3 linked regions of the Arabidopsis thaliana genome follow. The protein of the gene in region 3 interacts with the protein of the main gene of each other region in a pairwise test. Each region holds a gene or a part of one and is shown on either strand. Other genes may lie near its edges.

Region 1 (4,107 bases), on a different chromosome or scaffold from region 3:
CTAAAATTGGTTCAAAATTTGATTGGCCCATTACAAGTTACACATCTTACCAAACTTTAAGCTCAGATTCACTGACTCTTAGTTAGGCCCAAAATAACTCCTGACTAGGCCCAAACAAACTAGCAACGACGGTTCCAAATATAAACAATGGAGTGGCAGCTTCGTACTACTTCTGATCACTTTATGGCTTTTGCGTCTGATGTTTTATCAATATGAGACAGTTATTGGAATACTGTCAAGGTTACAATTTTTATGATCTCTGATTCGAAATGTAAAGTTCTTAAATATTTAACAACTAAAGCCTTCTTCAATCAAAGCTTACCTGGAGACAGTCATGTACATATAAAGATTAGCTTTTTACCAAGCTACAACACACACACACACACACACACACACAAAGCCTAAGCAGCTTTTTTTTGCGTCAAGAGGTCTCAAGTTCGGTGAAGGGAAGCGGAAAATGCTGAGCATCAGTGTCAAGATTTGTACAATCTCGTTTACTCTCGTCATTATTTTGGTTTATAGCTAGTTTTGTTTCGGACATTCGCCAATTCTGAGTGTTCATAGTATAGTTGTTCAACAAAACCAACTCAACAATTTTCAGACTCAATCTCGCATCCAAGAACGTGCCATTTATGTTTTAAGATCGTACAATGAGAGAAAGCTTGTCTTAGTCTATAACACTACTAAAGTCCTAGTCTAAAGCTCTATTTGACACAATCTCTCTCTCTCTCTTTCTCTCGTTCTCTCATTCTCTTTCCCTCTCTCTGAGATCAGCAACATCTATCAGGGGTATGACGGCCAGCCAGAGGAAGCAACCAGCATCGGATTGTTGTATTGACCGTAAACTTGATTCCCTCCGGTGATTTGATTTGCGTTCATATTCTCCGTTCTTGGATGAGCTACCACCACCGATGAAATCTCCACCGTGTCTTCCTCACCGGAAACTTTGATGGTCCCGGCAGAGATTTGCTTCTTGATCAAACCCTGGTCTCTTAGTAAAGCTCTCAGCTTCTTCACCTGCACCACCAATCCAATTTTTTAAGGGGGGCAATCTGATAGAATCAAGACTTTAAGGGATAAATTAAGAAAACGATAATATGTAATTAGATCCCATGATTTTAATTTTGTGCAATATAATACACAAACCTCATCGTGTAACATTTGTTTCTCCCTAGAAACGACGTCGTACTCTTGTCTAAGCGAGTCGTACAACTGCTCAAGCTGCTTCGCCTTCCACCGTGCACGGCGGTTTTGGAACCAAACTGCTATCTGACGTGGCTGCAGACCGAGCTCTCTCGACAGCTTCACCTTCCTGTCTGAATCTAATTTGATCTCTTCTTGAAAACTTCGCTCAAGTGAAGCTAATTGTCCACTCGTTAGTCTCTTCTTTTTTATCATCTCATTGTTGTTGTTCGGAAATCGGTACGCATTCATGATCTTTTCTGATTCCGGTACAGAGATAACCGGTCCGGTTTGTGTATCGCCAGGCGTATATGAATTTCCTGCTGTTAAACATTTTAGCAAACGCCCCGAAAGGATAAAAGGAAATATTTAAACATAGAAGCGCAACAATATAATCATTATACGAAAAAAAAAAAAAAAAAAAAAAAACTTCCAAAAGTATAAGAAGAATAAAATTATGTCCGCAACCATTTTTCTTAGAGTGAACTATACCATAAACGAATCTCAACTTTTCAAAAGTGACGTTTTACCTTTTTGCATTTGGATCCCAAGAAATTGTTTTTGTAGGATCCCAAGAAAAAAGTAAGAAACTTTATTTATAGATATTGTAGACTGAAGATAAGAAAATCTTAGCTTCTCATCAGAAAAGTAACGTTTTAGTTGACATTTGGAATGAAGTTTAGGGACGTCATATTTGAAATTCTTTACATCATTCACAGAAAAAAAAAAACTTCTTGAGAACATTTGCAAGTGGGATAAATAAGGTTTTAAAGTTCATGAATTCGTCAAATATGGAATTAAACACATCTAAAAGTAAAAAAAACGAAAGCATGTAACATATGCAGACTTGGTACGATGGTGTGTGAATATACCTGCGTAAGGATCAAAGTTGAAGCTGTGGAGCGAGTTAAAGGAACTAGACTCCGGCCATGGCGGTGGCATGAAAGCTACTCTCACGTTTTCTACGTTGCTCGTTGTTGACCACTCCATCTCCTTTCTTTCTTTTGTAGTTCTTGTGAATATCTTAATATATATAAGAAGACATGAGAGATGGTCTATAAGGAAGAAAGATATAGGATCTAATACAATGGATAAAAGAAAGAAAAGAAAATTAGGGTTTTATTGGACCACAAGGGAAGGGGTAAGAGAGGCGTGACAAGAAGTTTCTTCTTCTATGTACTTTGTCTTTTGGAGGTGTAACAAAGTGTGAGAGCACGCAGTGTTCGAAACAATACATATATAAATAGGGATATGTATCTAGAGGGAGATATAGAGGTGTAGTGAAAGAGACAGAGTGAAATTGTCTGTGTTGTGTGAGGTTTTTTTCACCTAATAAGGGAGCAACCCAACAGTACCTTTTGTTTTGGAATTTAAAGATTGAAAAGGAAAGTGTGATATAATTTTGTCTCATTTGCACATCATCAATCATCATCCATCATCTCTCTAACATTAATATAGGTTGATATATTTTGTTGTGTCCAAGGGTCAAACTTGGAATTTTTAATTTATTTTCGGGAAACTGTTTTTTCTTTCGTATTAGTTTTTTTATAATATATATACTATCATGACACCTAATCTACTTGTTTATGTCAATATTATCGTTGCGCTTTTTCGATAAACATACAAATTGTAACAATTTATAGTGTTACAGAGTTTGCAAGATGATGTGAACCAACCAAGACAATACATGTTTTAGATTTAAATAAAATTGATTTTGCTACAAAATTAGAGGTTTTGATAATATCATATTTTTTGAAGAAAAAACAAACAATCTTGAGCCTTGTGTGAATGCACCAAATATTCCTTTTGAAAATCTAGTGTAAACCAATAAATGGTAAATCAAAATCTGCATGGATTAATTATATTTGACGGAATTTCTAAACTTGGGACTTTTTAACATTCACATAAATCTACTTGTGGCCTTTAACATTTAAACCACCGTCTTAATTGACTGAATTTTATAAACATGGAAACATAAATGTAGTTGAAAAGAAATTGATGAGATTTTATATATAAATATATTGTAATTTCGTGTAGTAATATAGGTGGGGGTACGTATTTGTCAAAGTTAAGCTTAAATAAGTGAAAGAGAAAGAGTGAAACGAAACTAATGGTCCCCCAAAAACTCCATAAAAACTGACAATGTGGTTCCCCCCTTCTTTGGTTATGCCTTCATTCTTGGTCCTAAGATTTTCAGTTATTGTTTTGTCTTATATATACACCATCTAAATCTACTTATATATATGTGAAAATTAATGTGCAAAAGGTTTGGCACTAGTGGCAAGTCCATACCAATGTATATGTGCAGTAACCTGTATAGAGTATATAGGGTGAGGCCAAAAGCTACCTTTGAAAGCTAAGAATCAACACAGAGAGCTAAGTAGATCATCTATAAATAAAGAGTCTGATATGACCAATAAAAGCCAAAGCAAAGAAGAAGTTTGAAAACTAAGTCTCATTGTCTTCATCTACTGTGTACTCTTTACCCCCACATTCTTTATTAACTTGCAGTTCTACACACAATCTCTCTCCCTATATCTCTCTCTCTCATATTCAATTGCTACTTAACAAATTGTTGATGTGTAAATAGTGTAAGAGATGGAGAGAGAAGGGTAGAGAGGGAAGGAAAGGAATCTTTTTCTATGTTAAAAGTAGATAGGGTTTGAACAGATTGATGATAAGTAATGAGATTTAAAACTAACGACAGTGTATAAGAGAAAAGGGAAGCTTTTAAGCCTAAACCCTTGAAAGAGATGAGACATCACAGTTTTCATAGTGTATAATTTTTTTAAGAATATTTTTATGGTTTTTTTTCGATGATTGCATTCATTGTAAAGGATCCGTTTGATAACAACATTTCATACTCTATTTTCTTAAAAAAATAATATGCAAATTTCACTATTTTAGCTAAGACCCTACGTAAAA
Region 2 (4,206 bases), about 15 Mb from region 3:
GTTGCAGATGAATAGTGGAATACAGGAAAGGACCGGATGATAAACGGGTCGAGGCCAGTATTTTCAGGCGGAGTGGCCACATGGATTAGGTCACCGTAAGGTGTTCGTTGAAGGTTCCAAGTAGTAAATAATCGATTCAGAAGAAACTGCCATAAGAAAAGAGAGAAGAATCCGGCGAAAATTACAAAGAGAAGAACACCGGTCAAAACTACGGTGACAGGCATGGAAACACTAGGGAAAACAGCAGTAGCTGGTATTGAATCTATTGATGTTGTTGACGACATTTGAAGGTTGATGATTAGAGAAACCCCCAGATTCTACCAGTTTCGTAGATTGCTTGGGATATAAGAAAGGTTGTTCTTACAAATCCTTGTGAGAAAAGGAGTATTATTGTTCAAGTTAATAGAGAGAAATGAGGAGAATAAAGTGGCTATGTCTGAGAGACAGAAGTGGCTTTGCTTACCATTTTGAGCGAGTCTTTTGTGACAGTTAAAATCGTTGTCTTAATAATAAATCATTTTACTGTTAAAAATAACTCAAAACGAAAAATTAATATTGACCATGGAAATAAAGAAAAAGGTTTAGGTAGCAATGATGATCCGGTTTACAAGTACGCAACATTATTTAGTTCGGTTTGATCTTCTGCAAGATTAGATTTAGGATTGACAAAGAGAATAAACAAAAAGATGAGAGTTTTTGTCTTTGTTGAGTGAGTCACAATCTACAACCACAGAAGGGAGGAAGCTAATATGTCCACACAGTTACAAGTCTAAAAGAAGCTATACCTTGATCAACAAATCAGTGAAAATGCAGTGACTTTACTCAATATCGTCGATCCAATCACCATAAACACGACTGATTTTATCTGGTCCTTTCCATTTCCGTTGAGTTCTGACTCCGTTGGGTTTCTGCGTAACAGCACTAGATGTCCGTTGGGATGAGACTCCAGGAGAAACAAGGCTAGTCACTGTGTCTACTTGTCCTCTCTGCTTTGTGTCCAAAGTGGCGGATGTTCCGATCTTACATTCTCCTTCAACGAGTCCTCCGCCAAATGTATGCAACTCTGCAAAAGATACCATAAAGACTCAAACTTTTAGCTAGCGACGATTGAAACTTTCTGCATTTCCATAGCCATTAGGAACAAGCAGATCAAGAATTCTTTCCAATCAGAAACCAATTGACATCATCACGTAATGGCAATGTAGCAATAGGAAACATTTCAACAATCTCACTCGATCCACTTTAAGTCCATTAATAGACATTGTCACCAATCCATTCACCAAGCACGATTAACTAATTGGCACCCACAGTCCATATAAAGAATCCTCAAGGAAACCAATACCATTACATATACAATTCAACAGACTTAACTTAAGCTAATAAAGATAGTTCTAGTGTTCAAAGATGATCTCTTAGTCCAGAGAATTAGCATCCATTAACCTCTAGTGACACTCTAAACTCACAGTTCATCAAGCAACACCGATTAAAACCCATTTCTAAACTACATTCGTTGGGGTTACTAATAGATGAAAAAGGCCGTAGCTTTACCTGAAGGTCCATGAGCAAAATGGCAGTGAGAACCAAAAGGACAATAGCCAGTAGTCTGCCACTTATTGCAAATCCTTGTCTTCCAATTCGGAGACTTGAGAGTCTGAGCAACATTGCCACGAGGGCCTAAACTAACCGCAAAGCTTTCTCTGTTTCTTGAAGCCTCTGTCACCGTCTCCTGCCAATTGGGCGGCGGCGGCGGAGGAAGACGGAGCTCCTCCGCGCTGTGAGCAAAGTGGCAAGAGCTCGCGGAGTAGGGACAAGTTCCGGCGCGGAATTTGAAGCAAAGCTTCGTCTTGAAGAACGATTTCCCGATCTCGGAGGAGGAGGAAGATCGTGTCTTCTTGCTCGGAGACTCTGCGCCATCAGAGTTTATGGCCCAGACACGGCTGTAATCATCCTCAGTGGCCCAGACGGAACTGTCGCCGGAATTTGGAAAACAATTCTCAGGCGGAGGGTCGTGGGTGATTCTCACGTGAACTGCATCACTGCCGTAATCTCGCCGATGACTCATCACGTCGACCAAGAAACCCTAAACCCTAACCCAGGAGTAAAAGCAAGAGGAAGTGGAAAGAGATAGAGAGAGAAAGAGTAGATGAAGAGGAAGTGGAAAGTAAAGTAGAGTAAAGCCACTCAAAATCGTACTAGTAGTAGCATTTATATAAGGATCAAAATGTGATTAGCTATAAAATCAATAATGGTCACAGATTAAATAAAAGAAAGAAGTTTAACTAATGTTGATAATTAAGACGAGTAAAACAAAAGTTGTTAGGCAGAGAGGATTTCTATTTTTAAGAGCTTCACTTGCTCTACTAGTTTAGCAAGTTGTGTAAATTCACTTCACACTCTCTGAATCGATTCTACCATATGAAACCGCGCTTGTACATTTCAAGAATCCAACCCAAACAAGTTTTACAATGCTGACTAATCTCGATCACCACTTCTTTCAATTCTCAAAGAAAACTCAATTGTCTCTTTGAATTCCACATTGCTATCACTTGCACAACTCGATACTCCATCATGGCGATTTCGTAAATAGATGAAACTAACTTACACGGGTATAAATTATAACCGGAGACGCCAACTCTTACTTACTTGTAAAACAAGCTACTGGAGAGAAGCTTGATTCTTGAAACTTATCCCTCATAAATGTCCCAGCAAAGCCACCGATGATTATAAATTATCACCTCACCTCATTGAACACGGAAAGGGGATCCTAGCAGCTCACCCATTGTGGAAGAAATTTTCGATCAGAGCACATCAACATCCAGGCCCTCCATCATCTCACGATGAATCATTATGATATCAACACATAAGATTTTTGTTGATTTACTAAATTGGTATACATCTAGTGTTTGGTAATATATAGGCTAGAGTTAAGTATCTTTAATGATACAACTTCCATTGCTTGCTTCATTATCTCATCCGCATGCAACCTATTACTTCTGACAAGCCTCTCAAGGAAGAACCCATTGTCCAGGGAAGAGCTGCATCAGAGTCTTTCCCAGAATCCAGTCCATCTCAGAACTTGACAAGGATGCTTCTTTTGCAATGATAGTCACAGCTTCTTTAGCTTCTTTATATCCACATTCAAGAACAACAAATGGGAAGTCACTGCAGCAGATGGAAAACAGCCAATCCGTATATGATCATGTATTGTTAGTAGATATAGAAGGTTTTTTGTGGTTTTTAGTCGGGAAAGCGAGGTAAATAAGTATGTTTACCTGCCCCACATGACACGATTTGCCCCAAAATGGGACACAAGTTGAGATAGGAGAGGCGATAGGTCCTGATACGGGAAGCCGGTTCTTGAGATCCTGAATAGAGCACTGAATTTCACATATACCTGCTTGTTACAATATTCTTCCCTCAGACTCGTATAATCTATAATCTATGAGAATTCAGATTCTAAAAGTAATTTTTTTTTCTTTTTCACCTGTGGAAATCTAGACAGCTTCATGAGTTGAGAATAAGCAAGCTTTGCCTCACCACTTCTGCAGGTTGTTGAAACCATGAATATTAGTACTACATTCTATAGGAATTTCAGGGGACGGGATTATTTTTCACAAAAAGCAAAGAACAGCTCACTCTGGTACTTTGCAGAATCCAGCGTGATCTAGTAAAACAGTTGTCTTTGGAAATTCTGTGCAAAGTTCCTCAATTTCTGCAATGTGAAGATCTAGACCCTGAATAAAGAAAACAAGATTCTTAACGAAAGAACTTCGCGTAAACCACACAACTTTGGAGACCACAAAGGTGAAAATACTACCAGACCTTCATGCACATGAAGCCAACAGGCACACAAAGCTCCCCTGCTTTAGAGAACAAGGCTTTACCAACAGCATTTGTCATCTGTGTTGAGTCATTGACAATCAACAGAATACGGTGGAAACTTGATCTAAGGTCATTGGAATGGTTAAACTGTTACCTTCTGACCCGATGGCCACAAGTAGGGATTAAACCGAACAGCACGATAATTACTCTACAAAAAAAGATTTAAGTACTCTCAGAAATGAGATGCATATATAATATTTGGAGATGCTTTGAGTAACAGTGAAAGGGAAGACCTCTAAAACAAGATTCTCAAGGTGCGTAATTCCACTGCCATCTTCTGCAGGATTAGCAAGGCAACAACCGACAAACTTTGATGGGTATCTC
Region 3 (4,531 bases):
TAACTTAAATGGAGTGTTGAATCGTATAATTTTTCATTTTTATTATAAACCAAAAAGAGAATGTTGCAAAAATACAGGAATAGGAATTGAAATATGGAGAAGTTTACCAAACCATGTAATTTTTACAAATGATAATATCGTAGAAAAATTATGACTTGGCTCCGAATGGTAACGTGCGGTTTAACTGTGGATAAAATGCAGTGCGGTTCTAATAATAACAAAAATATTTACATATATATATATATATTTTTGTTACTGTTCGAACCGCACCACATCATACCGTTCGGCCTGCATTCGGAACCTCAGTCTACGACGAATGATACCATCATTTGTCATTACAACGTGTATCTATCAATTCATCCCAAAAAGCGTTAAGAATATTGCATAATATTCATTTTTATATATTGTATTTCATTAAAACTGTGGGTTCCAGTGAATCAACACAATCTCATTCTCATGAACCAAAAAAACTTTTTGGGCCCATATCTCTCTCTCTTTTCTCCATGATGAATAATAAATAAATCACTCATACATACGCATTACACATCACTATTATTATTTTTCTTTGTATCACTATTTTTTTAGCCTATTAGCAAAAAAATAAAACATCACTATTTCTCATCAAAACTTATTAACTTGTTAAAATAATATTGATAGCCGATATAATATCTTTTTCATAGATAAAATACACATAATGTATGGCTTTGATGACAAATCCAAAGAAAAAAAAAAATCAATAGAAAGGAGATCTTCGAGAAATTCCTTTTCTCTTGAGTATTCTCAAGAGTGGTCTAAATGAAAAATCACTCAATAAAACTTCAGAATCTTCTGAAACATCAGTGAGGGACGATGTGCACGATTTTTTTTCTTCTAAGCTTCCTTCTTGAGTAGAGTGTTCTTTCTCCAAAACACTCTGTTCTAGTTTTGGAGAAAAACAAAATTTATGCTTTTTTGAAGGAGTTGAAATCTACAAAAAGAAAATATATTAAAAAAAATGTCTTTCAACTATTAGAGAGCATGCTCTAAACTCAAAAGCAAATTCTTATATTTGACTTCAAACAATATACGCAAATTTAACGTTTTAAAGCGTGTTTATACAACTCACATGTATTAAGTGATTTCAATTTGTATTAAATGATACTTGTTAATGTAGATTACGTTTTTCGAAATTATATATTGTAATTTCAAAACAATGATTTTTAAGAAAAGTATTAAAATGAAACACTTTTAAAAAATATTTGCGCATCTTCTAACCGAAAACAAAACTATACACATTTTTGAGTGTGAACAAGACAATGTACAGTTGAAAATGTGTACAATTCAAATCACTCATAATTTTCCTATATACTATGTCAAAACTATATGCCTCAAGACTAACTTTTTTTTATCATTTCAAGATTATTCTGTAAATGATTGTTTTATATGTTTGATAACTACCAATAAATAAAAGATTAAGAAAGGTAGATGACTACCAATAGACTAATCAACACAATTCAAAGGGAAATATAAACTTTAACAAAAGATACCATAAATTACCTTGCAGGAGATAGAGCAAAAAAGATTAGGATGATCCTGAATATATCTTTTACAAGTCACACATGAAGCACCATTCTTGGCTTTTGTTGAAGGTCTTGCATCTTTTGCTTGTGGCCTTGAATTCAAATGTATTGCCTTCTCTCCATTTATTTTATATGTCTTTTTCCCCCATACATAAATTATTGCCAACCAATACCAAAATTAAAAACATTAATTTGGAACTCTAAAACAAGAATTCAAATGATTATTTTATTAATTATTGAATGATTTAGATATTTAAAGAAAAAAAAAACCTGAATCTCGGAACAGTCGAAGTAGTTTTGGATTTCGAGGAGACGAATAACATCTTGGTAAACGTATTTGCAGATCTGAAGACGACGATGGAGGAAATGAGAATCTGTAACTGTGTTACAACAATGTCTGCATATTTCCACATTACAATCAATGCAAAACACATTCTTCTCGTTCTTTCTAAGATACTTATGATTCATACATATCCCAAAGAACTCTGAGTTCAGTAGTGTTTCAATCCAAACTTCTTCACTTCTTCTCTTCTCACTCTACAAAAATTATTGCTATTACTTTTTTAGATTTGCATAAACTTAATTATGATTTATAATGAATTACTATGAAGAAGAAAAAAACATGAATATTATCCGGAAAAAAACAATCTGTACAAATTTGAAACTTTATTGACTTTATTTTTTTTATATGAAGAAATTTAAAACTTGAATTAGAGAGATCAGTTTACAATTAGGAAAAGAAAAAAAAAATAAAACTACATTTTTGAAGGATATGGAATCTGCAGAAATTTTACTTTTTATTGAAATTTATAAAGAATTTATAAATGGGCTATATGAAGAAATCATAACTATAAATTTTGCAGAAATTTTCTTGTTTCTAATTTATATTGAAACTATGAACTTGAATTGAAGGGATTTGTTTTCAACAACAACAACAACAAAAACTAACACTGCAGAAATTAATAAGAAAAAATGAGCATGTACCAGATTCATTTTGGTATGAGAAACTGAGTTCCTTTGATAGATCAGATGAGAAGATTTTATATTTCTCCGATCAAAATCATCCAAAAATATTTTAGTGTTCTTGGAGGAGAAGAAGAAGAAGAAGAAGGCCAAAAGCAAAAAGAAGAAGAGAGATGTGATTTGATTTGTAGTGTGAATAAAAATAGTAGAAGAAGGCAAACGAAATATTAAAGAAATGATATTAGGAATGTTTCAATTAATTACATATTGTGTTTTGTGGAGAATAATAAATTAAAAAAAAGGAAACTAAATGACAATTAATATTAAAAATGAGGGAAAAATCAAAAGTCCACAGAGTCAACAATAACTGTGACTCTTTAATACCTAAAATGGATACCAGGCGGGAATATGAAGCATGTGTAACTTTTAAATTACTGTTTTGTCTCTAGATAAATCGATAAGTATGTTTTTAATACGAATGAAATCCACTAATTAGGTCATTAATATGCAAATTGTAATAATTAAAAATGAGTGGACATAATTTGACTTTGAGGGGCAAAAAGTTAAGTCTTTATAATTTAGATGGTGCGATAAAGGTAAGCAAAGCTTCCTATATTTACTCCGAAATTTCCAAGGAAACAACTTATCAAATTTAGAATTATATCATTTTCTACATATACATAGATAGGAATATTTGATGTCAAAAATAACCGTTCCAAAGTGCACATAATAATATCTTAGGCAAATTCAAATCCAGCACATACATACTATACTTATGGAGAGACTAGATTATTGCTTGATGTTCGCATACATAGACAATTGAAATTTAAATAGATTGGTGAAATTTGTTACAGATTTAGTTGAAAGTATCCTAAAAAATATCTTATCATTTGCTCATAATTTATAAATTAAAAAAAAAGTATATCACTTGAAAATCGTTAAGATGAATATTAAAACCAGAAAGTAATAGTAAAGTATTTTGATAATGAGCATAGTAGCATTTATAGATTATATAAAATTGAAATTATAAGTTTAGGTAGATGTTTCTATGGCATTCCATCTTCGATACAACATATGACAGAAAGTTTTCCCTATTCGAGATAATACGTATGCGGGTTTTCACGTTTTTACGTTTTAGAAATATGATTTAGTTGAATACATACCATTTGCAAAAACTTGCGATGATTATTAAAACGTGGAAATAATATGTGTTTGTTCAATTTATCTTGCACGTTTTAATACAGATTTTTCGTCTCAACGTTGTTGATCTATGCTGATAGTAGCACTGGATGAAAGATTAGAAGAAATACAACAAAAATGAACATACCACTTGGCATGGTGACTCAATGATGTCTTAACCCTAACTTTATTTTTTGTTCTTGAATTAATCTAGTGTAATATTGAATACAAATCCATAAGATAATAAAATAATATATATTTTTAAAATTATGTATTAAATGTATGATCACATCAATATTATAAGTTAATAATTATACAAACTTATCAATATATATCTAAAATAATTAGTGACATATGAGTATATAACTCTAGTATTGTTTTTGTTGTTGAATCTGCATTATATTGGAGCTCATATCTAATCTTTTTTAACTACATCAAAAGCTGTGAATGGTTTATAAGTGATAATTGGTTCCTTACATGTAAACGGTTAAGTTTGCCTAACTTAGTTCCAATTATTGGTGTCACCTTTGATGTTTAGATTTTATATCATATGATCAGTGAACCTAAATAGTAGATGCTTAATATTATGAAGATTGGATTGGACAGTGTGCTTTATAAAATGAGGGACACCAAAATCATGTATTTCATTAGAAGGGAAGGACCAACTGGCTCATAGCAAATTGAATGAATACGGAGACTGCTTTGATATTCCAGTGGGTGTATGGTCCAAAGTCCAAACCCATAAACACATGGCTTTATTGGACTTGTGGGCTTGGAATACAAAATGATTTCTCATAGAAAGTGTACTTATAGTAATCTACTTGCTTAAA

Evidence for each region.
Region 1: the proteins of AT2G01818 (region 3) and HB51 interact in a two-hybrid assay, tested with the Arabidopsis thaliana proteins (one large-scale study listed by BioGRID).
Region 2: the proteins of AT2G01818 (region 3) and AT2G35430 interact in a two-hybrid assay, tested with the Arabidopsis thaliana proteins (one large-scale study listed by BioGRID).

What each region holds. Positions count from the first base shown.
Region 1 is NC_003076.8:1,003,050-1,007,156, reverse strand, and holds HB51 (homeobox 51), read right to left. Parts: upstream 2,376-4,107; 5' UTR 2,173-2,375; coding exon 2,055-2,172; intron 1,503-2,054; coding exon 1,147-1,502; coding exon of another isoform or gene 1,039-1,146; exon of another isoform or gene 1,018-1,038; coding exon 784-1,017; 3' UTR 526-783; downstream 1-525. UniProt on the Arabidopsis thaliana protein: Putative transcription factor.
Region 2 is NC_003071.7:14,900,196-14,904,401, forward strand, and holds AT2G35430 (Zinc finger C-x8-C-x5-C-x3-H type family protein), read right to left. Parts: upstream 2,191-4,206; 5' UTR 2,063-2,190; coding exon 1,549-2,062; intron 1,064-1,548; coding exon 819-1,063; 3' UTR 509-818; downstream 1-508. Other genes in the region: AT2G35420 (RING/U-box superfamily protein), read right to left, coding at 1-284; AT2G35450 (catalytic/ hydrolase), read right to left, coding at 3,006-3,162, 3,273-3,394, 3,485-3,542, 3,637-3,734, 3,823-3,900, 3,977-4,030, 4,116-4,206.
Region 3 is NC_003071.7:352,819-357,349, forward strand, and holds AT2G01818 (PLATZ transcription factor family protein), read right to left. Parts: upstream 2,777-4,531; 5' UTR 2,553-2,776; coding exon 2,544-2,552; intron 2,097-2,543; coding exon 1,830-2,096; intron 1,696-1,829; coding exon 1,537-1,695; intron 968-1,536; coding exon 734-967; 3' UTR 526-733; downstream 1-525.